Astyanax mexicanus: one gene and its partners. The protein of the gene in region 4 interacts with the protein of the main gene of each other region in a pairwise test. Links are inferred from orthologs where the notes say so. Each region holds a gene or a part of one and is shown on either strand. Other genes may lie near its edges. The genes, in order: golga1, atp6v1d, fam161a and vacuolar protein sorting-associated protein 52 homolog.

Evidence for each region.
Region 1: the proteins of vacuolar protein sorting-associated protein 52 homolog (region 4) and golga1 interact in binary tests that used the Homo sapiens proteins (3 or more experiments, as listed by UniProt). The two-hybrid records come from large-scale screens. The link is inferred for Astyanax mexicanus from reciprocal best matches to the Homo sapiens genes VPS52 and GOLGA1.
Region 2: the proteins of vacuolar protein sorting-associated protein 52 homolog (region 4) and atp6v1d interact in binary tests that used the Homo sapiens proteins (3 or more experiments, as listed by UniProt). The two-hybrid records come from large-scale screens. The link is inferred for Astyanax mexicanus from reciprocal best matches to the Homo sapiens genes VPS52 and ATP6V1D.
Region 3: the proteins of vacuolar protein sorting-associated protein 52 homolog (region 4) and fam161a interact in binary tests that used the Homo sapiens proteins (3 or more experiments, as listed by UniProt). The link is inferred for Astyanax mexicanus from reciprocal best matches to the Homo sapiens genes VPS52 and FAM161A.

What each region holds. Positions count from the first base shown.
Region 1 is NC_064419.1:30,653,413-30,660,816, reverse strand, and holds the start of golga1 (golgin subfamily A member 1), read left to right. Parts: upstream 1-4,237; 5' UTR 4,238-4,354; coding exon 4,355-4,388; intron 4,389-6,155; exon of another isoform or gene 6,156-6,355; coding exon 6,356-6,486; intron 6,487-7,404. UniProt on the Homo sapiens protein: Involved in vesicular trafficking at the Golgi apparatus level. Involved in endosome-to-Golgi trafficking. Mechanistically, captures transport vesicles arriving from endosomes via the protein TBC1D23.
Region 2 is NC_064408.1:85,782,059-85,790,149, forward strand, and holds the start of atp6v1d (V-type proton ATPase subunit D), read right to left. Parts: upstream 3,304-8,091; 5' UTR 3,132-3,303; coding exon 3,091-3,131; intron 993-3,090; coding exon 875-992; intron 735-874; coding exon 655-734; intron 561-654; coding exon 493-560; intron 310-492; coding exon 265-309; intron 163-264; coding exon 59-162; intron 1-58. UniProt on the Homo sapiens protein: Subunit of the V1 complex of vacuolar(H+)-ATPase (V-ATPase), a multisubunit enzyme composed of a peripheral complex (V1) that hydrolyzes ATP and a membrane integral complex (V0) that translocates protons.
Region 3 is NC_064428.1:33,714,992-33,722,543, reverse strand, and holds the start of fam161a (protein FAM161A), read right to left. Parts: upstream 3,063-7,552; 5' UTR 2,893-3,062; coding exon 2,752-2,892; intron 1-2,751. Other genes in the region: cct4 (T-complex protein 1 subunit delta), read right to left, coding at 4,426-4,440, 5,426-5,539, 6,527-6,761. UniProt on the Homo sapiens protein: Involved in ciliogenesis.
Region 4 is NW_026040044.1:1,818,770-1,826,990, forward strand, and holds the start of vacuolar protein sorting-associated protein 52 homolog, read right to left. Parts: upstream 3,315-8,221; 5' UTR 3,291-3,314; coding exon 3,198-3,290; intron 2,186-3,197; coding exon 2,101-2,185; intron 505-2,100; coding exon 452-504; intron 349-451; coding exon 273-348; intron 1-272. UniProt on the Homo sapiens protein: Acts as a component of the GARP complex that is involved in retrograde transport from early and late endosomes to the trans-Golgi network (TGN).

The DNA of each region.
Region 1 (7,404 bases), on a different chromosome or scaffold from region 4:
AAATAAAGACTATGACATAGTAAGTTGCAGAAAGAACTGCTTTTTATGAATGCTTTATAAGTGGTAATCATTTTTTTTATTCTTTCATCAAACAGTCATCATTTATATAAAAAACAATTAAAATAACTCAAGATTTTGTATCAGTATATTTTTTACCAATTATATGTAAGTTTCTCACTTTATCTTCAAATATTTCCGTTTTATTCCCATTAACTCAAGTTAATAGCCATAATAAAATGTCAAACAAATTTACAACCCTAATTCTTACTTACAAAATGATAGCATACAAATAATTATTTTAATATACACTGAGTTTTAACAACAAATAAAATTTAATATTTTAAATGTCATCGTGTGTTATGTGTCTTATGAATGGTGTTTACTGGACAAACTCCAACTGAGCTGTTTTGTAACCAAAGGCAAATTTCCATTTCAGGCTAATGCAATGATAAACTTACTTATTGACTATTTGATGCTTTTTATATGCTTATGTCACTTATTTGCCAAACGGTATAATCACTAGCTGAGTAAAACATTTTGCAGGTTTCTATTTTAGGACATTTCTGTTTAGTTAAATAAAGTGTTCCTTCCATTATTGTTATATCAAAGGAATGGTTTTATAGGAACATATCCTACTGCAAGCTGTCCCATTCTCTTCCAGCTTCCAGCAGCTTCAAATGTACAAATGCATGGTAATCATATTTCTGTGCTCTAAACTAACCCAGCTGTGGGGTTTTATGGCTGTGGTTTAAAGTTGATGATTTATGAGAAGGACATATGAGTTTGAATATGTTATTTTAAGTGGTTGTGTTGGTGGTTGTGGTTTTTACCCTGAGGCCTCAATAACCTCAGCTGTTGGGTTAAATCATTGTGTATTCAGTGTACAGTTTTCAGGCGCCATCTGGTGGTTGACATAGTATCTACTTTAGAGTGCAGCGCTTAGGCCAGTGTTTTTTTTTTGCTTATATCACTGTCTATTCCACTGCCTGGTAAAAAAAAAAAAGTCTCCACCTGGATTTAACTAAACAAATGATGTGGTGTTGCTGAATTTGATCAGGTGTAGGTTCAGCAACAGTATGTGCTGAAGGAATGAGGACAGATGACTACCTGAATATACTGAATATAGACCAGATCACTCCATAAATGGATTTTTTCTTCCCTAATGGCACGGGCATATTCCAAGATGACAATGTCAGGATTCATGGGGCTGGAATTGTGAAATAGTGCAGAGTTCAGGGAGCATGAGATCATCATTTTTTTACACTTGGATTGTTCATCACAGAGTCCAGACCTTAACCATATTGAGAATCTTTGGGATGTGCTGGAGAAGGCTTTGTGCAGTGGTCAGACTCCACCATCATTAATGCAAGAAATTAATGCAACACTGGATTGAAATTAATCTTGTGACATTGCAGAAGCTTATCAAAACAATGCCATGATGAATGTGTGCCACAACAAAAGCTAAAGGCGGTCCAACAAAATATTAGAGTGTGTGATCTTTTTTTTTTGGTGGCAACCAAATCTTTGATGGTCAAGGTGGTTAAAAAGCTGATCATTCATGTAAAAACACACTATATTGCTGGTATGATAACTGATTAATCATTCTTATGTTAGATTAGAATCTGCTAAGGCTTGGTTATGCTGATCATCAGCTTGGGCTTGCTGGTCATGTAGAGCTAAGTTAGCCAATTAGAAAGATGTCCTGTGGTATCTGGTCCTGGTAGCTGATATCTGACATCAGCAGATCCATAGTCCATAGTCTGGATCTGCTGATATGGAACCAGTTTATCAATGCTATTCACTTTACCTGTCAGTGGTTTAATGTTATGATTGATTTATGCAATTACAAATCAATCATATTAACTTGTGGCCTAAAGGAAAATGTCACTAAGGTGGTGGTTGGTTTTACAGTCGTGGCTTGCCATCTAATGGTCCCAAATGATTATAAGAACAGCATTAATACAGAATTTAAGTTGTTTTAGGATATTTCACAATTATAAACCAGATTTGCTGCACTAAATGCAACATCTATGGTAGAACTATGGCCCTGAAAGGAGATGCTTCCTGATCTGTTTTCTACAAAATACAGTATAATATCATAATCTTCTATTTCGGTGTGCGCTGTGTTTTCAGCTCTGCTGTTCTGACTCATTGTGTTCACTGTAGGAACGGCTGCAGAAACCTGATTTGCATCTGATAATAGAGAGTAAGCTCAGATTGTCCAGATTTGTCTGGACTGATTTTGAGCACTGTGAGCTCTCGTTACTAATTACTGCTCTGATCAGAACACTATATAGAAAATGTAAGTTCATGTGGGGAATGTTAAAGCCTTTCTCAGATCTATATTACTGCTCGTGTTTTTAGACATCTGATACAGTATATACTATAATACAGTGTACACAATAATATGCACTTTATATCATCAAGCTTGTTTTGAATATATGTGCATAGATCTGGTATACATATGTAAGTATTACATAATTATGTAATATATATAATTATGTATATAATACACATATTTGTATATTTATATTTTACATAAATATTTTAAATTAACATATAAGATGTTTTAATTATAGCATACTTTAGATATGTAGGAAAATATATATATCCCTTGTTTGTTGTAAAAGGACCAATAGAAATGCTCCAATATTACATTGACTTCCACTGAAAATTAGACACATTTTGTCTTGTACTGTAAGTTGACATTTTGGAGGTACAATGTTTTTTATGTAATAGTGGTGACCCAGATAGCAAAAGGACATCGGAATTCAATGTTCATTTTTCTATCGCTAATACGTTAAAACAATGTTGATCTCTGACCACAGAATTTATTTATTTTTTGCACATCGATTTTACATTGATTCAACATTATTTTTAAAGTTATGTTTTTTTACTTACATTAAATATGTATACAATATTTATTTTCTATTTGTATAGCATGCCCTGTGATTGGTAGGAAGCACCTTTCACCTAAAAGCAAGGTGAGTGTAGAAGATCTTAGCCCAACCTTTCAAAACCTTCTAAATCAATGTCAAAATTTTAACATTAACTGATACCTATTAGGCAATGTTAAATAAAGATTAATTTAAGGATATCGTTCCATAATCAACCTTAATATACATATAATGCAACCAGTAAACTTTTATTCTTTGCTATCAGGGAATGTTTCATAACATACTGTTAAACATGTGTGTTACATATATATGAAACACAACTGATTGTTTAGATCATTTGATTTTGATAATGGCTTATGTTAACAGTATGTATTTTTTTGCAATTTTAATAACAGGGCTTAGTTAGGGCTTGTCCCCAATTGGTAGGTGATGTAAAGTTTACTTTTCATTAATAAAGGTTGTAGGCATTAAATATTGGATAGTTGTTTAGTCTTATTATTGAGTTTTATTGAGTTTGTTTAGTCTGCATTTTGAATTGTAGTTGGCAAAATAGCAAAGCTCATAAAGCTATTTAGAAATGCATTACAATTTGAGGCTGTTAAAATGTTAACTGTTATATTAACAAAAACATATATCAAATACATTTAAAAACGATCAATTTCAAATGAGCTGTCATCTATATCACACTTATTAAAGCAATACATTACAAACATATTATGTGTATATAGAGGGACTCCATGTTTTCTGTGGAGTATATATCATATTGTTTAAATAATTGCAGTGGGAGCGTTTTCACCGTTGTCAATGTTTTCTGCCTAACGTCTCAGAAACGTTTTCTCAGTTCTCAATTTCTCAGTGAAACACGTGGAACTGAATGACTTTCTATGTAGGGCACACTCAATGCAATGCTCATTAAACTGTCCCGTATCGTTTAAATGTTTAATACGCGTGTAGCGGGATGAATTATGCAGAGTGTGTACTGTAACAAGACCAGTGGCCAGCAGGCAACAAGTGCGCATGACTAAAGAACAAGGGCACGAGCTGACTCTGCGAGACATTACAAACCTTATCAAAACGATCTGAGGATAAAGGTGAATGAGCTATGGTGACCCACTGCACATGGAATAAGCTGACTTTTGGAGTAAACGGCATTTTTATCTAGGAATTAGAAATCTAGTCTACGACTAATAGTGCACAAATAACAAGTGTGCACTAAGTAGTGTACGACAGCAGCGCGTCCTGTGCCCAGCAGGCAGTGAGGCGACTCTCTTGCCCCGCCTCTTTCTAATATTCACCAATCAGAGCAGACAGTGGCCCTGGGCACGTCACGCCGAAAGTGGTGACGTGGTGAAGTTGGTTAGCAAATACAGCCGAGACAGCAGCGACGAGTAAATGAGAATTCGAGCTTCTCTGCGGCTCCGAACGAGATAAAATAACCTCTAACTGACGGACTATGGATGTTAGTTGTGTTTCTGTTGAATGGAGTTAAAGGTAAAGGGTTTGGGCTCTGTGTGTGTGATACGGAGATGCTAACTGAAGCCAATAAAGCAATAAGGACGCTAACCTAGCTTTAGCTTAGCTAGCTAGCATTAGCTTAACCGAGCAGCTGAGATGGTCTGACGACCTTAATAATCCTTCTAATAAACCTGACAACCTTTTATTTTATCTCTCTTAAAGTTATTTAAGCCTTCTTTGTCGCCTAACAAATGAATTAAGCTGTATATCACGACTGTTCTATAGTTAAAGCAATAAGCAGGTAGGTTAGCTACTTAGCTAACTAGCATTGTGAGCTATTGGTTTCTCTGAGTATGTCTAGGTTGGGTTAATACAGCACAGTCAGTCTCAGTCAGGTTTGTGTTTGTCTGCTGTTTTTATCAGTTCAGTGCCAAACTGCCTTCAGTCTGTCTCATTTATAAATCACTGGAGTCAGATTTGAGCTGACCTGCCTGCTGTCACGTCAAGTAAACATTATGTTGGCCTTTGTTAAGCCTTACATTTGGCAAGGCAAGTTGCTGAATAAGCTGTAATCAACAATTTGTAAATTAAAGGTGTTCTTCTGCAATATTGTCAGTTTTGCTGCATATTAGAAGTGTTATGTACAGTGTTAGAAAGAATTTGACACTTATAGAGTCCCTAAGGTGTCAAAAGTAATATTTAGAGATGTAAACACTTGCATAAATTTAACAAATCGTTCAGTTCAGTTTAGAGGGAATGCTTTAGTTAAACTGGGAAAACAAGTATTAAATCAATTCTCAATTTTTTTAGGGAAGCAATGATGTGGGAAATATGGGCAAATATCTGATTTGTCATTGTACAGATATATAACTTACAGAGAGACTAGACACCCTGGTATAACTTTATAACTTATAACTACCAGCGTTGCTTGCTACAGTTATAATATCAGCAATTATCAGTTTGTAATGTCAGGCAATAACAATATAATTCAGATATCATCATGCACCCCTAGTTTCTTAATTTAGGAATTTAGGAATGATAATATAAATTTGATAGGATAGTTCAGGAAAAAAGATTGTTTTTATTTCCTTTATTTTGTACTAATACCTTTTTGGGTTTGTGGCTCTGTTTCAAATTAAATTTTATTATTTTATATGTTTTCAGGTAATTATTAGTTAAAAATTTCATCTTGCATCTCTAATCGAAATTAAGTGATGTTGATTCACACTATATTGCCACATTTATTTGCTCACCTGCAATGCATTTGTTGATGCAAGGCTTTGATGGAGCAGTGCGACCATGGAAACTAATTCTATTAGGCTCTCTATCCTCTACTGTTCTTAAGCAAATTGGAAGGCAACATGGATTTTGGAGGTCTGTAGTGATTGACTCTGGTGGAGAAAGTTGGTGACCTCTACACACTATGCTTCTCAGTGTCTGCTGACTCCACTCTGTCATTTTATGTTGGCTTTCTCAGTCATTTCCCATTTGTTGTAATATTACTTAAATTTCACTGTGGAACACTTAGTTGTGAATTTTTTTTATGACCGGACTTGTTGCTTAGGTGCTGCATCCTAACACAGTACTATGCTGGAGTTCACTGAGTGACCCATTTTTTCACTAATGTTTGTAGAAGTAGTCTGCCTGCCTAGGTGCTTGATTTTATACACCTGCGATCATGGAAGTGATTGGTTTGAGTTCAGTAATTTAAATAGGTCAGCAAATACTTTTGGCAATATAGTGTAAAAGCTTACATTCACATTTAGATTTCTTGGTTTAATGTGACAAAAATCTGTTTTCTAGGCTGTATGGGACATGCTAAATCCAATTGCACAGTTGTAAATTCAGTGCATATGAAGTTTATATATATTGTGTCTTGCAGAAGAGAAAATCTGACAACAGACAGCGATGAAACAGCTGCATCCTGCATGTGAAGCACCTTAAAGAACGTTGATCTGTGGGAGAAGCCCAGAAGGATTGTTTTTTTTTGGACTTGCACACAGCAGTAATGTTTGCGAAGCTAAAGAAGAAGATAGCAGAGGAGGCGGCTACCGGTCCTCGCACTGGACGCATGCCACGATCCATGAGCAAAGAGTCCATCACCTCGGTGGGAGCAGACTCTGGGGATGACTTTGTGAGTAAATCTCCTCTTTATCTCTTTCTTCCTTTCCCTCTCCCATGTCTTTTAGTCTTCCCTCTCCCATGTCTTTTAGTCCCTTAACTGCAAAAGCACAGTAATTTTAGAACTGTGAGTTATCAGTTCAGACAGACTCAATAATTTACAACTAATACTTAAAAAGTTTCAATATTGTCACATAAAAACCTTCCAAAATAGCCTGTACTGCAGAAAGAAAAAAACCCTTTTAACTTCAAAATTAAGTCTATTTAAAAAAGATTACAAGTCGTTTTGGACTTTCTGACATAATGTAAATAAAACTGGCAGATTATATCAAACGGTATGGATACACCAAATATTTAGCAACTAAAATGATTTGGCAAAAATACAGATTCCATTTTGGCTGAATAAGTGTAAAGACAAAATCATTTCTAATCAACAATTATGTTTTTGATGACGCAATCAAATGCAGCCAACATGTTTTTGATCTTTGGCTAAATGTTTGGTTCATTTGGTTCATTCTCATTGATTTGTGTGTGATGGCAACAAAATAAATCTTTCTTACTGTATTCTTTAAATGTAGATAATGTGTGGTTAACCCCCATATAAATCCATGCAGTAAAACAGTGCTGGACACTGTATGACAATATGACACTAAATCAATATCACAAGCAGTTGGATAATTTTACCTTTAACAATTCATGTACGAAAGACATAAATAGCTTTTTCTCTGGTTACAAGCTGATTGAGTTGCTAATTTTGGCTTAGTGTTTGAGCTCTCTATGTTGAAGGTTAAGGGGGCAGTAAATATGGGTGTAAGGGCTGGTGGCCGACCGAGGCACCCTCCGGGGCATTGGAGGGCGCGCCAGGCCAGCGCCGAGGGTTAATTGGCTAATTGCCAACACCTGCTTTCAACACCTTATAAGCAGGGCCAAT
Region 2 (8,091 bases), on a different chromosome or scaffold from region 4:
TCTCCATTTCAGCTTCATGTATTAATGATATTTAATAGATAACTCCAGCACCCCCTACCTGCAGAGAGGCCAATTCCACCAGCAGCTCTACAGCTTTAGCGTAGTTTCTCTTCAGCCTGGACAGCTGCTCTCCACCTCTGGCCAGACCAGTCAGTTCATAACCTATAGAGTGTGTGAAATGTGAACATTTGATGTTTGTGATGTGGTTCAATTATTGTATGCACTGTAATTTGTGTGAGACCATATAATTTTATCCAAACTTACTGTCTCCTCCCTCCTGGTAGTGCTCAAACACAGGCAGAGTCACACCTGGGGGGCAAATGAAGCAAAATACAGTTAGGGCCGTTATTCATGCATAAAAAAATAATACAAACATTTTAAAATCTGCTGAAAAACATTTAAGTTAACAAAACTAAAACTAGTTGAGGTTTGAACTTAATAATTCCTTGGCAATTTCTCAGTGAAGCAAATTTAAATGAAGTTTATTCAGACCTGCAACATTGTCCTTTTTGGCTCGAACCTTGACCTGGGCCTTGTTCACATTCTGGATAACCGTAGTGCTGAGACAAACACACATCCATGAGCTCAGGAGTCAAACTTACTTTCACAAACACATTATCATTAACATTAAATATAAGCGCAAGCTGCTCATACCTAAAGTCACCAGCAGCAAATTTGGCTTCAGCTAAAGAAAAAGCAGCTTCTCTCATCACTTCTCCCATCAGCGTCTTGGTCTAAGAAACAAAGGGAAACAGGGTAAGCAATGAAAAAATATTTACAGCTATTTACATTTTTTCTCACATTATTACATGTTTACAGCATGACATACTCATTAATATAAGCATTTAAAATATTTATTTTCTCATGTTTCTACCTCAATGATCTTCCTGAGAATCTGCCGGAAACGCATGGAAAGGGCGTCAGCTTTTTTCTTCAGCAGGTTCCTCCCTGTCTGAGCTCCTTTCAGTCGAGCCTTCATAATGGTCTGAGCCCTAAAACCATCGACACAAACAGTCATTAATTATACAATTAAAAATACAGTGTGCAACAACAGTCATTTGCTTTTGTGTTCATGAGTTTAAGAGGAACTTGCTTAGTCAGACTTGTTCACAGTGGTGGTGAATGGAACAAAATGCTTAAAGAGTTTTATGTGTTTAAAAGCTCCCCCTCAGAAATTATTATGAATTCGTCATTTGATGTCTAGACACTGTTTATCAACAGTTAAAGAGTTTATTGGACTGTGTTGCAGTAAATATACACTTGGTGATCTCAAATTAATCCCTACAAAATACTCCATTTCCATCTTTAACATTACATATACAGCTAAGAGGACGTGCACAGAATCACTGGTGGTTGCAGACAGTAAATAAAAGGACTATATTTTCTGTATTCACATGGTTACCCCCCAGTTCCTAACACCACCACGAAATCAGCATCAATGCACTTCTCTACAATAAACAATTTTAAACCAAAACAAACTCTTTTTCACCCTGTTTATTTTATATATAAATTGACATTTAAGCTACAATGTAGTAAATACAAATAAAAAAAAACTAATATTAATGAGAATGTTCTGCACATGGTACTGGACTTGTAGTATCAGGTCCACTACAACCCTACTGACTAGACTTGTCACAATAATTACATTATTAACTTATCTTACAGTAAATGGACATGACCTCAATAATATTTTATAATAGTGATATTGTATATTGTGCTTATTTGTATGTTTGTTCACAGTAAACAGTATATTTGCCAGTTTCCATGCTTCAATGACCAATGCTTCAAAAACAGTGACACCACATACACACTGTGGACTGTGTTAGGTAACTAAAAAAGTAAATACACTGCCAGGCCAAAAAAAATGATGTGGGGTTGATGCTGCAGTTGGTCAGGTTTAGGTTTAGCAACAGTTTGTGCTGAAAGAACGAGGTCAGCTGACTACCTGAATATACTGAATATAGACCAGCTTATTCCATCAATCGTTTTTTTCTTCCCTGATGACACGGCCATATTCCAAGATGACAATGTCAGGATTCACTGTTCTGGAATTGTGAAAGTGTGATTCAGGAATCATGAGCTCATTATTTTTACACATGGATTCCAGAGTCCAGATCTGAACCTCATTGAGAATCTTTGGGATGTGCTGGAGAAGACTTTGAGCAGCGGTCAGACGATACCATCATCAATACATCAATAAAAGATCTTGAAGAAAAATTAATGCAACACTGGATGGAAATAAATCTTGTGACATTGCAGAAGATTAATGCAAAAATGCCACAGTGAACGTGTGCCGCAATCAAAGCTAAAGGCGGTCCAACAAAATATTAGTGTGTGTGACCTTTTTTTTTTTTTTTACCCCAAACTATGACTACTTACAATTGTATTGTCTTCAAAAGAATATGAATGCTTCGTTATGCTATTCTAGTATCATTATGTCAGTGTCATTTAAATGGTTTTAAAATGACAATAATATTGGTTATCACAATAATGACAACTACAACTACCCTTTAAGCTCTTCAGCTTCAAACCCTTTCCCCCCTGTGGATGTTCCTCTATGGCCAGAGCCTCACATCACATGATCCTGAATAATACACTTCTGTTTTTCTGTGGGGAGTTATTTCAAACACTGTTCTTATAGTCTAAATTCTGAAAATACAATATTTTAACACACCCTTTAGAGGGACTGTATACACGTATTTAATCTGCACAAAAATATTTTTTATTTGCACAATTACCCTCAGAGAGTCTTATAATGACCTTGCTGGTGGTCCTTAGAATACCACTGTAGAATAAACACACTGCAGACTGGTCCTTTATTCTATTTATATGGCTAGTTGACTGCTACAGTGTAGTAAAATAATACAAAAATAATAATAATGTGTGTGTAACGTTAATCAATGGTCAGTTTTATATTTAGATCAACCCCAGCATTAATAACATTCAGCACAGTTATTATAGTTTAATTATTAGATATTAGAGTATATTGGAGTCTAAACAGTAAATTAAAGGTTATGTTATGTTGATTAATTCGTGTCCTGTAGTCTGTATCTCTAACAGCACAGCACAGCTCTCTCTCGCTTTACTCACATCCTCGAAGGGAAAATGTCGATCCGGTCTTTGCCCGACATCTCGTCGTTTTCCTCCTGATCCCGGCGGGTCTGTGTGTTTATAAAGCGGGGTTTTCTGCTCGACCTGTGGCCTGTTCTGTTCGCATGTAGGTTTTATTCGCAGGAACGCGGCGCTCGGCTTCACTGTTTCACTGAAAATCACATTACAGCTCACAGCGGGTCATGTGACTCACGACCAGCGGCCTTCAGCAAAACACTAAACACAACCTATGATCATTATCATTATTAAAACATAGCTTGGGTTTATTTTACGATTTAATGTAGCAGTAAGCTTTCTTATTAACACAGATTGATCGATTCATAATATATATATAATATATATTTAAAACAGTACAGTTTTACCTAAACTTTTATTTTGAAGTGTGTGTAACCGATAGCTGTAAGGGCAGAGGCGGCTTATGGAGGAACTGCACACTTCCTGTATATCGCCTCTGTTATTTGTCAGTGAACCACTGTAACCACCGCTAGAGGGAGCCCGCGAGTGAGTCCAAAATGAATAGAAGTGAATTGAGCTAAATTGCTAAAACCTTCAATTAAAAATAGTAAATAATATGAATGAAAAACAACTTATAGTGATGTTTAATTTGTCTAGGCTATTAACAATTTGGTACAGTCACCGGTTATAAACAATACAAAACATATAAAGTGTTCACTTATCATGTGTGTAGGTCACATTTCTTCATGACATTTTTTTGTGTTATTATTTTGTGAAGATATAATTATGCATGGATACATATGCATGTGACTGTGTTATTCATAGATACAGGTGATGCATATTATATATGTTTATGTATATGAGCATTTTATATACATCTTTATGCTATGTTTTGTGTACAGACTTCCCAAGTCTTCTGAAAGTGGCGGGAGTCTACCGCATATCAATAACGGCGTGAACACAAACGTGCACGCAGGCAACACAGTTTTTTTCCCCAATCAGGTGTGTAAAAGAGAGGGAGAAAGAGAGAAAGGCGCTGCCCTCCTTGGCATATTCATTAAGGGCATGCAAAACAGAGAAAGTTTTAGTGATATGGATCTACGTATATATTGCTTTAGGGGGCAGGATTAAAAGGGCCTATTGTTTAAACTTTAAACATGCAGTCAACCATTTAATTAAAATCAAAGTAATTAGTGCACTTGCTTCTTTTAAACATACTTATTAAATGTATCTTCCTTGTAGAAAATCAAATAAAGCTGCCTGAGATTGACCAATATATGTTTTATTAGATCCAGAGTTGAAAAAGGATAAAAAATTAAGTTTACTTTGGAAACAGTAGGATTAAAATGACTTGTTTCTTCTAATTTTGTCTTTCAAAGAAAATCTATAAATAAAACAAAAAAGTAACTAATGCAGGGTATTCTTTTAATTTATGAAAGTATAAAGATGCATTTTGCTATATGTATACCTGTCCATTTATCTACAGTACACTGGTTTTAGGCAGTTAATGCGCTAGCATTACTGTTACTGTCTTCTGACTGGTTGGTGGGCTGATGCTGGAGTTACAGTCAGAGTCAGAGACAGTTTTAAAAGGTTTATATCTACAGTTTTAAGTATTTGATATCCTTGTCTTCGTTTGAAAAATGTTAGATATTGTTTCAGTTTTCAGTATAACGGTGATTAAACATTTATAAACTATAACGTTAACTGTTAAATTGCTCCATATAAGCCCATTCATTTTGAACTCGCTCTGGAGCGCCCTCTGGTGGCCCGACAAACGCGGTGTTTTTTAATAGAAATTTCTTAATTGATTTTATTTATACTGACTGTTAATAGAACTAATGATTATACATTTACTGTAAAACCTAGCTAGCTAGCTGGGTCACGTTGCATTTATTTGTCAAATTTGTAGCGTTCCTCGTAAAAATATATATTTTTTTTCCTTCAGGTTATTTTATTACCGCTGGTACCTTAAAAACACCAATTTAATTGTGTTTCATTATTAACATTGTAAAAATATTGTTTATTTGCATGATGTGCAGGAAAAAAAAACTAAATAAAAATCACTGTCCTCTGCATGAAAGAGTATTGGAATAGATGATTTTAAGAATCGACCTCTGCTGATGCATTTTGTCTGTGTGTCAAAACATTGCGATAAATACAGTGTATAATAAAAATATCATATAATATTTTACACCTATAACTGTGTGATTCTATATACTTCAGGCAGTGGCATTCATACTGTTCAGAATTTTATATAAAGTGATATTAAGATTTGTTGTGATAGAGATATGGACGTTTTGTCCAGCATTTAATTTGTATTACTTTTATAGCAATTAGGTGTGAAATTGGCCAGTGGATATGTTGTCCATGCTGTAACTAGTAAGGATGTGGTGTATAAACCACATGAGGATCCTGTAATCTGATATTTGATGTAATATTTCAAATTGTGATTATTTTTATTATTATTTTATTAGTGTTTGTATGTAACTGTTTATTTTTATTTATTAATATAAAAACACAAATATTTAAAAAATGAAAACTTTTATTAAGGACTTTTATGTTGAAGTTACTTCGCGCGGCGCCATGATGTAACTCTCTCTCTGTGCTGTGGATCCATGGCGAACTCCTGATTTACGGAGCCTTTTCTCATCAAAATTTACAATTACCGCCCAGAAACAGACTCTAGACTAACCGCGCTCCCGGGGACGACTCGCTTCAGGTAACACCACTCTCTGGAACTCGCGGCGGGCCGGTTTTATTCAGTATTTATTTATCTAGAAGCAGAAATGTGTTATCTAGCCGAGCTATCTGCTGAACCGCATGGGCTCAATGAGACTGAGTGGTGCAGCTCAGCTCAGCCACTGATACAATAACAGATCTATGGGTATCATTAGATACCTATACATATCACCAGCTTCAGAGACAGAATACAGTACAGCTGGACTAACTAACCCATCTAACTAGACTCGACTGAACCGGTTCTGTAGTTTAACTCTGGTTTAATACTGAACAGCAGCTCCACCCTGTATGAGGGTTATTTAGTTAACTAGGCTCTATTGATTGTAATATCTTATTATTAGACCATTAAACCCAGTTTCACAGGATTATCATCTGAGGATTTGCCTGGATACTAACGCCAGGTTGTAGGTATTTATCCTGCTAGCTTGTGAATTAAGTGAGAAAGTATTTTCAGGTCTTGAAACTCAAAATGCAGTACCAATTCCAACGTCAAAATCATGTTTTTCCACATCATTCCTGATCTACTAGTCAGTGTAATTAGCACTAGTGAGACAATTATTCATTAAAGTTCACACTACATTATTAGTCAGTAATTTCCAGCCCATTTCTCCAATTCATTTATGATTAACCCATTATAGAACCCAGACCCATTTCTGAATATTGATACCAATCAGATAAATTCAGTAAGAAGCTCATTCTTGTTTAGTTTTCTTTTTTTATTATTATTACTGTGGGTGCATGACTGTAAATATTTTAAGATTAAAACCATGATGTAACTTAAATGACACAACAACAATTTCATTACTTGTATGGTTAAAGTGGAGCTGTAAAAGCAAAAACACACATTTTAAATAAGAGAGGTTTATCTCCAGCAGCAGCACTTCTGCGTTCTGTAAATAAGTCCAGATAAACAAACACACTTCCACACACTGTCCTGTGATGCTTTCAGAATGATCAGTATATGCCAGAGGTTCTTCATGAGATAAAATGATTGAGAAAGTACTGTAAGGGACTTAACTCATCTTTTAAATGGTCTGTGACACACACATCACTATGGGCTTATTTGGGTTATCAGACTCGTAAACCCAGTTTCACAGGATAAACATCTGAAGATTTGCCTGGGACGTAAAGCCGTGTTTTTTTAGTAGTAATCCTGGTAACTTGTGAATTAAGTAAGAAATGATTTTAAAATCTTAAAACTCAAATGGGCTTGGGTTCCAAACCCAGTAGTAATTTCAGTGTCAAAATCATGTAAAATCCCACATCATTCCTGATCAACAGATCAGTGTAACAATTAGTATTACTAAGCCATTGCTAACCATGGGGCAATTAGCATAATTATTCAACTTCAATGTCAGTGTTCATAATGACATTGAAAGTGTATGTGAATAATGATTAACTTATATTATTGATTTTATTGTATTGTGATACATTCACTCATCATGTATGCTTTAATAAGCATAATAAAGGATGCTGTTGGTGCCTTAAAAACACACATTTAACTGTTTCATTGCAAGCATTGTAAAAAATGTTATTTGGATGATGTGCAGGAAAACTGAATAAATATCACTGTACTGTGCATGAAAGAGTATTTGAATAGATTTTTTTCAGAATCTACCACTGCGGATAAATTTTGTCTGTGTCAAAACATTGGGATAAATACAGTGCATCATTAAAAAAAGTCTTTAAATATCATATAAAACTGATATTTAGAGTTATTAAGATGGTTATTAAAGTTGTATTGTCCAGCACTCATATTACTATTGTAGCAATGAGGTATGTTATTGGCCAGTGAATATGTTGTTCATGCTCTAAAACAGGGATGGGCAACTTCCATGATGGAGAGGGCCACATTTTTTTCAGCATGACCATTGGAGGGCCACATGACCTCGCACTTCAAATAATTGAATATGAAAAACACTACAAATGATTTTCAATAAGAACAAATTTTATATGAACTTATATCTGTATGTTTACAGCACCAACATTTATCAACAACTATTTTCTGCATATTAATGCATTTTAATACGGCAAAAGACAAACCGTTTGCTTAAAAAAAGTGCAAAAAAGAAGTTTGCTTAAAAAACCGATTGCAAATACAGTAGTTCCTCTGTGTAAAATAAGTTCATTATAACAAGTCCTTCATAAGCAACAAGGACAAAACATTTGCTTATAAATGTGCAAAAGGCATTTGAACTCATTTATAACAAAGAACAAAAAAGATTTAAAAACTGATTGCAAATAGCTCATTCAATAATAGCAGAAAACTAGACCACAGAGGCC
Region 3 (7,552 bases), on a different chromosome or scaffold from region 4:
ATAATATTCTTGTTAATATGACAAAATAAACACTGAAATATATGTAATTTCAAGATTATACTACTACAGCAAAAATGTATGTTTGACAAGTTTGTTTTTGTATAAATAGAACAATTGTAAACATCCAGTAGAAATAAAAAGAGTAAGCATTTGTCTATTTTGTTAATAACAGTAAATTTCCAAAAACTCTACCACACAAAACTGTGCAAAAAAGTATGCAAACATTAACAATTTGGGTGATTTTTGCTGATCTGTGATATACTGTATAAAGGATATTAAGCGTATACACACAAATTTACAACAGATTTTGCTAGAAGTCTATGATCCAGCATGCCATTTTATTAATAATGCACTCTGTGAATCCACAAATAAAGTAAAATTAATTATAACAGGTAGATTTTTCATGGGAAATAAAAGTGAGTAATAGCATTATGTGACATTACACACATTGGGATGGCAATTCTAAAACAACAACCATGCAGCCCTGTTAACAATTACACAAAAATACCAATAAATCATCACAGTAAATAGCTAATTTAATACAATATAGACAGCTTTTAAACTTAATTATTGCAGATAAAAATAGAATATAACAGAATATGGAACATCCCTATTATGAACACTATATAAACAACAAGAGTGATCTTTGTATTATAGTATTTTAATATTTGTGTTTTACTGCATACGTAAACTTGTACTGTTTTTTTTATTTCATTTTAAACATTTACACAGTAATGTATATACAGTTTGCAGTGTGTTTTAGTGAATGTGCTCTGGTCTGGTGTGTGAGGCGTGTGCTGTATTATAGTGCACAGGCTCTGAGGAGATGGTAAGCTCATTATCTGCTGGTCTGTTTACTGGGAGCAGCAGATGGCAGATTGAGTGTCCTTCAGTAAAGACAAGCCACCAAACAATAGCTTCACATCTAACAGGTGATAAAGGCCATCCTTATTCACCACAGCCTGAGTTTAGGAGAATAAATAAAGCTTTATATGGGAATAAAATAAGTGTTTGCAAAAATAAAGAACATTTAATAGCTTAGTATCTGTTTCTAGAGTTAATATGTATTAGAAAGGATTAAATTGTGGATGAGGGATGGAGTGAAGGAGACTGGAACTGGAACAAAGGGCAGGTACGTTAAGCTAACAGTTGCTCATCTCTAGTATATTATTTATTCCTTTATTGATCATTTGTTATGTGGGCTCTGAGTGGATTTGTATACCATTTCTCCCAAATTCCAAATAGAAATATCGTCATTTAGAGCATTTATTTATTTGCAGAAAATGAGAAATGGCTGAAATAACCAAAAGAAGATGCAGAGCTTTCAGACTTCAAACAATGCAAAGAAAACACGTTCATATTTATAACGTTTTAAGAATTCAGAAATAATCAACATTTAATGGAATAATCCTGTTTTTTAATCACAGTTTTTTTTCATGCATCTTGGCATCATGTTCTCTCCTCCACCACCAGTCTTACACACTGCTTTTGGCTAACTTTATGCTGCTTTACTCCTGGTGCAAAAAATCAAGCAGTTCAGTTTGGTTTGATGGCTTGTGATCATCCATCTTCCTCTTAATTATATTCCAGAGGTTTTCAATTTGGTAAAATCAAAGAAACTCATCATTTTTAAGTGCTCTCTACCCATACAGGCCCTATGTGGATATGTAATTTGGGAATATTAATAGCCATTCTTTATTAAAAGGCTAAACTGCAGTTTAATCACTGTATATTGCAAAAAAAGGGCAGAAATAATAGTCTGATTTCCTTTATGACATGGATTTATTGTCACAATAACTTTTATGTTTGGACAGTAGATTACCATAAATAATATTATTTTCATTTCAAAACTGTTGATTACACAAATTTTGTAGCGTCAAGATAGCATAGCAATGCACAATGCACACTTCTAAAAACACTATGAACTCTTAATTAAAGAAATACTCATGCAGTACTACCCAAAGTTTTGGACACACCTTAAATTGAGTGTTTTTAGTTTTTTGTCCAGACTATGAAGGAACATATAAGGAATCATGTAGTAACTTAAAAGTGTTAAACAAACCAAAATACTCTGTATCTGGGAGCTGTTAACTTTTTGCGGTTTCTGAGGCTGGTAACTCTGAAAATTTTGCTCTTCCTTTCCTGTGGCGGTCCTGATGAGTACCACTTCCATCATACGAAGTGTTTTATGGTTTTTGTACAGCAAAGAAAACTCTTGCTCCTCCTTTTCTGTGGTGGTCCTGATGAGTACCAGTTCCATCATTACAAAGGTTTTGATGTTTTTTGCATTGACTGCACTTGAGGATACTTTTAAAGTTCTTGAAATTCTTTTTTTCAGATTGACTGACCATCATTTCTTCTTAGATTCATTTTTTTCTTTACTTAGTTGAGTAGTTCTTCTCATAATCTGGATTAGAACATTACTCTAATAGAGCTATTATTCACTGTATACCTGTAACTCTACCTCTTCACTACAGCTGATGCTCTCAAACAAAAGAGGCAAGAAATTCAACGAATTAACTTGCAAAATGCAAAAATGTTCATACTGTCATCTAAGAAAGAGGTGCTACTTTGAAGAATCTAAAATATAAAACATATTCTGGTTTGTTTAACACTTTTTTTCTAAATTAAATAATCCCATGAGTGTTTAGTATTAATCTACAATGTAGATTATTTTAAAATGATGTAAAAACACTGAATTTCGGGTATTTTAAGTTAGCTCTATAGTTAGATTAATTAAAGTTTACTCGCCTCTTTCTCATAGTGTCGGTTATCCGGGCGGCGGGCTGCGTTCTCCCGCTCGTACAGAGCCACGGGGGCTTTAGTGTGGGGGTCCACGGGGGTCTTCAGACACGAGGTCACCAGCACGTTCGCGCGGTGAGAGCGTTCCATGCTGCCCCTGCCCCGGGGATCCGGCTCCGCTCCTCCCCGCTCCGACCTCCGGCTCCGTCAGCGGCTCCTCCGCTCCAGCTCAGCCCGGGAAGAGACGCCCTGCAGCGGTCACCAGGCAACAAGCACCGCCCCCCCCTCACTGACTACCAGCTTCTGCAGGCCACGCCCATGTAAAGTCCAAGCCATGCCCGCTCCGTAAACCACAACGTATTTTCATGTGGCGGAGGGATATACAGATACTACAGAGTGCTGTGAGGGAAAATAGTTCCTAAAGAAAAGGCATCTTTAATACATATTTTACATATAATACAATATAATACTTATACAAAATGACAATATATGTGGACAAAACGTTCTAAATTCCAATTATTTATATATACATATATAGCTATAAAACAGATAAAATATTTTGCTATTTATAGGTTTATGTTTTAGTAAAATGAACATTGTTGTTTTATTCTATAAACTACAGACATTTCTCCCAAATTACAAATAAAAATATTTTAGTCATTTAGAGCATTTATTTACAGAAAATGAGAAATGGCTGAAATAACAATACAAAAGATGCAGGGCTTTCAGACCTCAAATAATGCAAAGAAAACAAGTTCATATTTATAAAGTTCAGAAATCAATATTTGGTGGAATAACCCTGTTTTTTAAATCATAGTTTTCATGCATCTTGGCATCATGTTCTCCTCCACCAGTCTCACACACTGCTTTTGCATTACTTTATGCTGCTTTACTCCTGCTGCAAAAAATTCAAGCAGATCAGTCTGGGTTGATGGCTTGTGATCATCCATCTTCCATCATCCATTATTTTCGAGGTTTTCAAATTGGTAAAATCTAAGGAACTTATGTTTGGCAGGAGCTGCAAAAATATATAAATGCTAAATGCTTGTGTCCCCTATCTTTTTCATGTTTTTAATATTAATCTACAACCTTTTGACTAGTGCTGTATAAATATGAAGAGCTTGATTTTTTTTTAAATACTGTTAAGAACAGTTTTTTTCAGATAATCAACAAAAAGAATAAAGAATAAGATATTCGATAAGCAAATACTTGATAATTTTTTTCTAACATCACAGAAATCAAACACCAGCAAACCTGATAAACAAACCTGATTTAATATGTTTGGCCAGAGTCCTGCTGACAGAATTAACTAAAGGGATTATCCCTAATAACCTGTACAACACCAACAGCAGTTCCAAACCAGTATAGCATTGTGCTAAATGTCACACTAAAAACAAAATTGAATGAATTCTGGTCATTTATCCTTTTCCATAAATATCATTTGCAAGCCTTCCAAAATGTATGTAAAAAATGGATATATGTTGTTAAGGTGCAAATGAAAGCCAGAGAGACAGGCTGAAGTTTCCAACAAAAAAGGCTTTATTAAATTACGCAACGTAACATCTACAGACAGCTCTTCAACAGTTGGTCTGAGCGAAGTGTTTGTGAGGTCCCCACATCCTTCTGCAGCGCGCCAGACAAAAGGAGTGCTCCATTTCCCTTCAGTGCAAACGAGCAAACACCTTATCGGGTGTTTACCTGTGGAAAAAGATAGAAAAAAAAAACAAATACGTATATGAGCTTTTTAAACAGCAGTTACTCTCCTAACACCCCTAAAAACTACCTTCCACTCCCAGAGTAGGAGCATCTCTCACTACCTTCAAGAACTTCCTAAAGACCAAGCTCTTCAAAGAGCACTTACTCTGCAAACACCTCTAACAAAATTATGCTCATTTCCTCATCTCTATCCCACTATGGTCTCCTAAAACGTTTTTGCCTTGGGCCCAAGCCCATTTAGGTGGGGGTGTCCAGATTCTTGTTAGGCTGGAGGGGGAGGTTAGCCCTTCAAAATCGAGATTTTTAAGATGCACACTTCAAACCGAGGGATAGGAGAATCACTGGTAATAAACCCAGAGATGTAAATATTTTACCAGTGAAAAGTGAAGATTAGCACTATATTACCAGAGCTTAAAGTGTAGTTTCAATGTTTTATGGCCAAATTATTTATAACATGCATAAAAATATCGCTAGTAGTTTGTCTCAGATGGCAGCTAGCTAGCTAACTTTCCCGTTCCACCTTACATGGTGCAACAGCCAGCAGGAAGATAAATAAAAGAAAGATAAAAAAAAGGAAGATAAAGGCTAATCAAAGCTAAATTCATCTCCCCAGAGGAATTAAGAAATGGACAATAATAATAATTAATTTCTGAACCATATTCCCCTTTTTCTGAAGATATACAATAAAGCCCAAAAATGAGCTAGTTAGCAGCTAGGTTACTGAACTTTAGCATTCCTGATGAAGCATCGGGTGATTTAAAGGGTTATCCTAATTCTTAGGAACTCTGTTTTTAAAGGGAAAGGGTTACACTCAAAAACAAGGGGTAGGGGTAAGTGGTAGTGGTAAGTGAAATGGGATTGGGCCTACATCTTCTGTTGCTAAAGGTACAACAATTAATTTGCTTTGGATAAAAGAGTCTGCTAAAAGTAATGCAATGAAATATTCAGAATTTATATTGCTACTTACAACATCGTCGATCTTGAGGATGCTGCGGACCGTTTCTGTGGCGAGGGTGAGGGCACTGATCGAGACCAGCAGCGGCTGAACCACCAACTCCTCCAAAATATTAGAGATTCCACCCTGAGAGAGCGAGAAACCGTGTTAGATCAGCATGAAGAATTTCCAACAAGCATATTTTTGTCTTTTTATGTCTCTCGGTAAGCAATTCACAATTACGAACACAAGCATGAACACGGTAAATCAATATACATGTACATTACAAAAATATAAAAAGTTTGTGTGATTTTACCCTTAACTTTTTAAACTAATTAACAACTAGTATTTTTATTCACCCATGTACACATACTGACAAATACAGTAAATTGTATATCCGTTCATCCATGGATATTTTTGTATATCCAAGACTATTAAACATGGTGGTGAACCACATGACACCTCAGATCAGAACATCAGTACTGGATCATGCCTTTCATTGTACATTTAAACCCCTAAAAAGTATTTAAATTTAGTTTGATAAAGGTATCACACTCCAGAATTGCTTTTATATATTTTTTTATTGTTTATGTTTTAATCAATGAAAGAGTAAAACAGGACTTGATCTAACATCTGTTTATCAGGGTTTATACACGTTTTAACCAATTAACTTGATTTTTTTTCATGACTTTTCATGGCCTTCATTGCAAACTTTCATGCCTATACGATTTTAAAAACATCAGTGCAGACATGGACAAATAAAACTAAAAGTCAACTAAAACTATAATTAAAATGATACAATTTAGTAGGTCTAAAATGATTCTGATAAAATGTTGACACACAATCTTTAATAATAAAATGTGTGTCAGATCCTGAGAGCTCCATTGTTTAGAGGCTAAATTACTGATTTAAGGGATTTTTTAACAGATTTTTTAAATAGATTTTCTCCATCAATAAACTAAAACTTGAAAAGATTTGTAGAGCAAATTTCTATAACTTTTCCAAAATTTTCTGGTTATTTTTATTTTTCTAAAATTTCTCCAGCCCTAGAAATGACTATTTTTAAATTCCTTGACGTTTCCAGGATTTTCATGACCGTAAGAACCCTGGTTTACTGTATTAACTCAGGCCCACCTTGCGGACGTTGATGCCGGCGGTCTTCTCTCCCTGGGCATGTCGGTTGCGGAGCTCGGTGACGGTGGAGATGGGGTTGAGGCCGGCGTTCTCGGCCAGCGTGGAGGGGATGACCTCCAGGGCGTCAGCGTACGCACGCACACAGTAAGCCTCCATACCACCCAGAGAGCGGGCGAACTCCGCCAGCCGCAGAGCCAGCTCGATCTCAGGAGCACCACCGCCCGCGATCAGAGCCCTGCAGCACCACACACACAACACAGACAGGCGTAGGAGTTTAATAGACTTTTAATACTCAAGACCATCACAGATACACTACTGAACATCAGGGGTGTGAGAAAATATCAATGGGAAGATGCAATTAATTTTTATAAACACAGTATGGATCTGTGGTTTAGGAGAATGAGACATTGTAGATATATATTAAATAGATATTAATAGATATTAAAACAGTACGTTTTCCAGGCCTAAACTAAAATACACTATTATTACTGTATCGCTGCCAAATATACAGGAAAACACAAGCATTAAAAAAAAAAAAGAATTAATAATCATGATTAATAAGAGATTGTTGTTTATTTCAGAAAAGATGCTTATTTAAAAGGAAATGGTGTACTTGGCCATTTAGTACTTTTAGTAGTTTATTTTAAGATGAAAATTGTATGCTTTGATACCCTTGTTTCAAAAATAATTAACTAACACTAATGAAAATCTTAACTTTCTATGGTATTAACTATATATATATATATATATATCTTTGGGTAAATTCTTTGGAGTGCCTGTGGATATATATCAAATTTTTATTTAGAATTTTGAAAAACTGACCATTTAAATCAGGAGTTTTAGAGCAAAACAAGCACCCAAAAACATGCAGGAGCATGAGGAATAAATGAGGAAAGAAAATAAAAAACAAAACACGATTTTATTAAGTTTACAAAAAATATAAAATTTTTACATATTCATTCTTTTATTTATGACCCACTTGTATGTTTCATTGTATTGTGCGTAGATATGCCATGTAAATGGTTT
Region 4 (8,221 bases):
ATCACAGAAAATCACAGAAAATCAGATCCAGACATATAATATAAAAATCACAAAACAATACAAACAATAACAAATTATTTGCTACAGTGCTACAATAAGCTAGGCTAGGCTATGCTAGGCTACATGTGTTCTTTGGGTAATTTCAGAGAATAATAATAAAGTATGCAGAGAGAGGTTAGAATAACGGGTGTAGGAATAAGGAATGAGCTGGTCCTGGTGTTGTGATTGGTCGATGTAAATGATAAGGGGTTATAATGATCTGATAAGGATACAGTCTTTGATGGAGGCCTGTTCAATACGCTGTAGCTCCGCCTCCACCTGTTTAGAGTACTGTCTCAGATCCACCCCCTGCACAGATCCCGCCCACAATCAATACAACACATTTACCAATAGATCAATAATCACAATAATACATCATCAAACATAATCAATACATAATAAATAATCTCACCGTTTTCAGAGCCTCCTGCACCAGTTCATCCTCCAGATTAGCCTGAATATGAACTGATCACAAATAAACACATACAGGTTTATTACACCAACATTAACACCAGAGACTCAACATCACACACTGTCTGTCTGTCTGACTGTCTATCTATATATCTGTCTGTCTGTCTATCCATAAATCCATCCGTGTATCCATCCCTCTATGGATCCATAAATTCATCCACCAATTGATCCATCCACCCATCGATTAATTTATCCATCCATCTATGTATCCATCCGTTTATCCATCCACCCACCCATTCATCCATAAATCCATCCACCCATCTATGCCTCTATGGATCCATAAATGTATCCACCAATTTATCCTTCCATCAATCCATCCATCAGTCTATCCATCCATCCGTGTATCCATTTATTTAAACATCTACCCACCCATCCATCCATCCATCCATCCATCCATCATCCATTTATCTATCTGAAATCATGCATACTAAAAACGAGTTTATCCTGTTTCTACTGTCCAGAGAAGAATGTCTACTTGATTCTGGAGGTGAAACACTGCTGTGAGGATTTAACTGCATTCAGCCACAAGAGTTTCAGTTATATAGTTATGTTATATATTTATAGTTATGGAGGCAACATGAAGAGGAGAGATGCATTGCGGTTGAACGAGCTGGTCAGGAGGGGCGGGGCAGTGGTTGGAATGGAGCTGGACTCTCTGGTTACAATAGCTGAGAGAAGGACTTTGGATGAACTGCTTTCTATCATGAACAATGATAGTCACCCACTTCACACCACCATCATGAAGCAGAGGAGTGTGTTCAGTGGCAGACTGCTGTCACAGAGCTGCACAACAGACAGACTCAGAAAATCCTTCATTCCCAGAGCCATCAGACTCTTTAACTCCTCCCATCGGGGACGGGATGCTGCTGCCGACTGAGTTTAACCCAGTCACACCACATGAACATTATTACTCAACCACTTAATTATTTACACTAACACTTCCCCAACCTTGCTTACATTAAAGTATACCTTACTCATGATTGGGTATTCACATTTTCACATTCTCTTTTTAGAACTGTCTTCTAACGTATGCAAATTTATTATATTATATTTCTATGTCACAACAGTCACTTTCGTAATCGATGTCATTGCACATTGCACTTTACTCTGTTAATTATTTAATTAACAATGACCATTAGCAACATCTACTGCACTGCTCCGTTTACAGATAGATCCTTACCTTGCATAGTTAGGTTTTTTATAGTCTTATATATTTTCTATTCTTGTGTTTTGATTTGATTTGTCTGAGTATGTTTCTTATTGTATTGTGTTGTTGCTGCTGGATGCCTAAATTTCCTTCAGGATAAATAAAGTAAGTATCTATCTATCTATCTCTCTATCTCTCTATCTATCTATCTATAGGTCAGGGTGATCACCACCCCATATCCTTATGTTCCTTAATGTATGAAAGGTGCTTTATGAATAAAGTTTATAATTTTATTATTATTATGATAAATAAGCTACAGTTACAGTAGATACAGACTCACGTTTCTGCACATCACCAAGGGGAGTCGAATTTCAGCACAACACCCTTGATCTGGGATTTAAAAGTAGTTTTACTGTAAAACAGCTGGATAAGCAGCTACTTACTGTCCACCTCATCCAGGATGAACTCATCAGTGGTTATATCCAGATCCCCCAGATTCAGAGCTGGAACCAGATCAGAGTCCGGCTTCTGATACAGTCAGAATAAAAACAACAAAACTCAGTACATCAGCTCATTAAACCAGATACTGCATCGTATCGTACCCAATAATATCGCCACCATTGTGAACTATGATATTATATCCTGAAATATGGCGCCATATCACCCACCCCTAATTATCACACCAGGGTTCTACTTTTATACTGTCTTTATCAAAAGAAAAAATAACACTGTTCTTATTTCCCACTATATATCTACTAGAGACTAGAGATTTCTTTTACTTTAATCCTGGATATATGAAGATATTTGGAGTGCATTAATATTATTAGTATCATGATCACTGACTTCTGTTACAAATCTAATGAAAATTTATTGTATTTTTTAATATCTCAGTTATATAATCACATATCATATTACATGCAATAATAACATTTAATTTTCATTTTTTGGCAGTAGTGTATTGTTGAAATATCATGATATTATTTTAGGGCCATATCGCCCACCACTAGTGGAAATCATTATTCAGTTTATTTGGTTGCGCCCATTGCTGACATAGATGTGCAAATACACACACAGCTTGTTTATTTCTGTATTTTTCAGTTTTGCCAATAGATTAGGACTGTCTGGAGCAGACAAATAAATATGAATCTATTGTCTCCATGGTTAATCTAATAACATAAATGGGATACAGAGAAATTATGATGCCTTATATTATGAGGGCTTTTATTATGAAGGGCGTCTGTAGGCCAAAACACAGCTAGGCTAATGATGCAGTGTAATAGATTGATTCGCTATAACAGCTCTGTTACAGCGGAATAAACGCTATAAATCAATAATCAATAATAAGTAGGGTTATTAACTGAGTTTATAACAGTAATACAGATCAGTATCAGTTATAAACCCGCTGTACTGAAGCCCAGCTCAGACCAAACCGCCGCCAGAACCCCGTCAGCACTCCGGTACCGATCCCACGAACCCCCGAACACCCGCCCACAGCGCGGTACCGACCCGAAACCCCCCGCTAACATTAACCAGCCGGTACCTCCTCCTGCAGATAAGCCATAGCGGCGCTCCCGGTTCCGCCCGCCGGGGTTAAATCAGCCGCAGCCCCGCCGGAGACCAACACCTCCGCCATTACTACTGACACACTGAAAACTACAACTCCCAGAAACACTACAACTCACCGTAAAAAACCTGCAACTTCTATAAAAAAACTACAACTCCCGTTAAAAACAACTACAACTATAACTTCAACAGTTATAAAAAAACTACATTTCACAATGAAAAAATCTACAACTCAACGTATAAAAAACTACAAATCCCACATTAAAAACTACAACTCACATAAAAAACCTACAACTTACCACCCCGTGTCACTCCCCGATCTGTACCCCCTGCCCGATTTGTGCCGCGCATGCGCACTGCACACTGAGCAGGGGGCGCAGATCGGGCAGCCACGGCTGTCAACAGTTGTCGGCGCTGTGAGATCGCTGATCAAGCTTAACTTCCGTTTTCTGAATTCTAGATAGACAGATAGGTGTTTAAAATAATTAAAAATCGAAAATAATCTGTTAAAATGTGTGAGCCTGCTGTGTTTTTATTTATTTTTTGTTACATATACCAAGTCTGTAAATTACTTCACATTTAAAAATTCTTTTTATTCTTAAAATACACAGCAAATTATTATAAATAACAGGTACAACACATTCATCAAAATATCAGTTTATTTTACTCTCAGAAAAAGCATGAGAGCGAACCCATATCTCTCTCAACACACACACACACACACACACACACACACACACACACACACACACACACACACACACACACACTTTCCTTGCCCATTCCTTCGTTGTGGTTGTATGTATGTGTAGTTATTAGACATTTTGTGTACAGCACTTTGGGCAGTGGAAGCTGTGTAAAGAGTGCTTTATAAATAAAGCTTACTTACTTACTTACTTACTTACTTGGAGGATGGCGTGAATGCTGAATTTAACGAAAATGTACTCTGCACAGCTCTGTAAAACTTAAAATCCTTAATTTTGACACCACAGTGTACGAGCTGTTTGCGACAGTGTGGGCGGAAGTACACCTTGGCATTACCTACCCGATCTGTGCCCCTGCTCATCTCACTCAGTTTGCAGTGCGCAGGCAGGGGGTACAGATCGGGGAGTGACACGCACTACATCCACCATCTTACCTCTGACGCCCTTTCACCTCTCACCCCTCTCTACCAGCGGCACACTTTACAGAGCTTTACCCTAATTAATTTCATTAAAATCCCCTCATTAAAATCCCCTCACTCTTATTAATAAATAAACCCCCAAACTGTCCTATTTAATAAGCACTGACTGTAAATAAAACTTAAAATTAATATTTCCTCAAATATGAAATATTTAATAATAAATATAAACAGCTTGTTTAATATTCATGAAGTATATTAATAACATTTGCGTATGCAACAAAACAAATATCATAAAGTTTCAAAGATAAATACCAAAATGTTAATGAATTCCTTCCTTACCATTTCACCTCAAAATTCCCTTTTCTAGCATAAATATTTAAACACGTGATCCTTATTATTATACATTATCTTTTACTGACAGCATTAAACATGAAGGGCAACATATATACATTACTGATGTAAATAAAATATGCTACCAAATAAATAAATAAAATAAATTCCCCACAAAATACAAGAATGAAAAGTCTTTTAAGTGGTTCTTCATCTTCATCCTCTCTCTACTGGCAGGATAGTTGAATCTGAAACACACACAGATTAAGTAAGTTTAGCTTGGGCATTAAACAAATAATATACATTCTGAACAACACAAAAGTCTAACCATCCTGGGGTACGTTTCCCAAAAGCAGTGCAGGCCACGTGTTTGATTGGTCTAATACCTGGCCACGGTGGTGTTGGTGAACTGGTTTAACTGGGGTCAGTGTTAATGTGTATTATTATTATCCCGCCGCGGGCTCGCGGGGGAATTTTGAACGCGCTCCGGTCCAACGCGGGTAAAGCGCCGTGCTTTAACGGACGGAGGATTTAGCCTATCATAAACGCTGTTTCTGCAGATCAGACGTTCACTGAGACCATTTCTAGAACCGGATTGGATGGAACCTGTAGATATTCGGTCGCTATTCGTCAGACAGACTTGTAGGCGGGCTTCTTCTTCTCGGCGTAATGGCCTAGTGAAGCGCTAGCGGCTATGCTAACCGCTGACCCGCGCAAATAAAGTGCAGATAAAGTCCAGTATTTAATAATCACTCTAAACCAGAACTCTAAAGGTATTCGGTGGTTAGGATATTTTCAGAGTGTATTTCTATTGTAAAAATATTTGCACCGCTGAGGGCGGTGCTGAGGTTTATGCGCAGATTCATAATAAGGTATTTGCATATTCTGCCTAGTAACCGCTCATGTCCTCACTCCTGTGGTGAAAAACTTTTTTGCTAACTCTGCAGCTGATTGGTTAAGTCTCAGTTTGAAGTGATGACCCGCATCTGGACGACATCTAGAGGCTAAACACTCGAACTGCTGCTCTCTAACTACTGCAGAAACTATGGTCCTCAGTTCACCGGGGCTTTTACCCGGTCCCCACATATACGCAATTGTAGGAAGGTATGTGTGTGTGTGTGTGTATAGTGTGTGTGTGTGTATAGTGTGTGTGTGTGTATAGTGTGTGTGTGTGTATAGTATGTGTGTGTATAGTATGTGTGTGTATAGTGTGTGTGTGTGTTTGTGTGTATAGTGTGTGTGTGTATAGTGTGTGTGTGTGTATAGTATGTGTGTGTATAGTATGTGTGTGTATAGTATGTGTGTGTATAGTGTGTGTGTGTGTATAGTGTGTGTGTGTGTATAGTGTGTGTGTGTGTAAAGTGTGTGTGTGTGTGTGTATAGTGTGTGTGTGTGTGTATAGTGTGTGTGTGTGTATAGTGTGTGTGTGTGTATAGTATGTGTGTGTATAGTATGTGTGTGTATAGTGTGTGTGTGTGTTTGTGTGTATAGTGTGTGTGTGTATAGTGTGTGTGTGTGTATAGTATGTGTGTGTATAGTATGTGTGTGTATAGTATGTGTGTGTATAGTATGTGTGTGTATAGTGTGTGTGTGTGTATAGTGTGTGTGTGTGTAAAGTGTGTGTGTGTGTATAGTGTGTGTGTGTGTATAGTGTGTGTGTGTATAGTATGTGTGTGTATAGTGTGTGTGTGTGTATAGTGTGTGTGTGTGTAAAGTGTGTGTGTGTGTGTGTATAGTGTGTGTGTGTGTGTATAGTATGTGTGTGTATAGTATGTGTGTGTATAGTGTGTGTGTGTGTGTATAGTGTGTGTGTGTGTGTATAGTATGTGTGTATATAGTGTGTGTGTGTGTGTGTGTGTGTAAAGTGTGTGTGTGTATAGTGTGTGTGTGTGTGTGTGTGTATAGTGTGTGTGTGTGTATAGTATGTGTGTGTATAGTATGTGTGTGTGTGTGTGTATAGTGTGTGTATAGTGTGTGTGTGTGTGTGTAAAGTGTGTGTGTATAGTGTGTGTGTGTGTATAGTGTGTGTGTGTATAGTATGTGTGTGTATAGTATGTGTGTGTGTGTGTGTATAGTGTGTGTATAGTGTGTGTGTGTGTGTAAAGTGTGTGTGTGTGTGTGTATAGTGTGTGTGTGTATAGTATGTGTGTGTATAGTGTGTGTGTGTATAGTGTGTGTGTGTGTGTGTGTGTGTGTGTGTGTGTGTATAGTGTGTGTGTGTGTATAGTGTGTGTGTGTGTGTGTATAGTGTGTGTGTGTGTGTATAGTGTGTGTGTGTGTGTGTGTATAGTGTGTGTGTGTATAGTATGTGTGTGTATAGTGTGTGTGTGTATAGTGTGTGTGTGTGTGTGTGTGTGTGTGTATAGTGTGTGTGTGTGTATAGTGTGTGTGTGTGTGTGTGTATAGTGTGTGTGTGTATAGTATGTGTGTGTATAGTGTGTGTGTGTATAGTGTGTGTGTGTGTGTGTGTGTGTGTGTATAGTGTGTGTGTGTGTATAGTGTGTGTGTGTGTGTGTGTATAGTGTGTGTGTGTATAGTATGTGTGTGTATAGTGTGTGTGTGTATAGTGTGTGTGTGTATAGTATGTGTGTGTATAGTGTGTGTGTGTGTGTGTGTATAGTGTGTGTGTGTATAGTATGTGTGTGTATAGTGTGTGTGTGTATAGTGTGTGTGTGTGTGTGTGTGTGTGTGTATAGTGTGTGTGTGTGTATAGTGTGTGTGTGTGTGTGTGTATAGTGTGTGTGTGTATAGTATGTGTGTGTATAGTGTGTGTGTGTATAGTGTGTGTGTGTATAGTATGTGTGTGTATAGTGTGTGTGTGTATAGTGTGTGTGTGTATAGTGTGTGTGTGTGTGTGTGTGTATAGTGTGTGTGTGTATAGTATGTGTGTGTATAGTGTGTGTGTGTATAGTGTGTGTGTGTATAGTGTGTGTGTGTGTGTGTGTATAGTGTGTGTGTGTATAGTATGTGTGTGTATAGTGTGTGTGTGTATAGTGTGTGTGTGTATAGTGTGTGTGTGTGTGTGTGTATAGTGTGTGTGTGTATAGTATGTGTGTGTATAGTGTGTGTGTGTATAGTGTGTGTGTGTATAGTGTGTGTGTGTGTGTGTGTATATTTCTGGGTTAATATTGGATAATGCTGAAGAGTGTGGGGCTGCAGGTTTTATATTGTAGTGATTCAGTACTGGTATTATTCTAGCTGTATTATAATTAATATTATTATTATGTTTAGTTATTTAAGGAGACTGAGGCCGGTGGAAGAGCATGTAGAGGCATTTACAGACATAATTACTGAGTAAACTACAGGGAGGTAATGTGTAGATTGGTACTTTTGGTGGGGCTATTAGCATTAGCCTTAGCATTAAAATTGCTACTGAGCTGTTTAGGCTAATGTGGATTTGGGGTTATTTTTATGTGTATTAATATAAATGTTTGTCTCTTCATAGGAATCATATGGTGTAGCCACTGTTTTTACCATATCTGTTTATGCTTGTATTTTATTTTATTTGACATTTCAGACTCTAAAGGATATTTTGATCTAATATAATA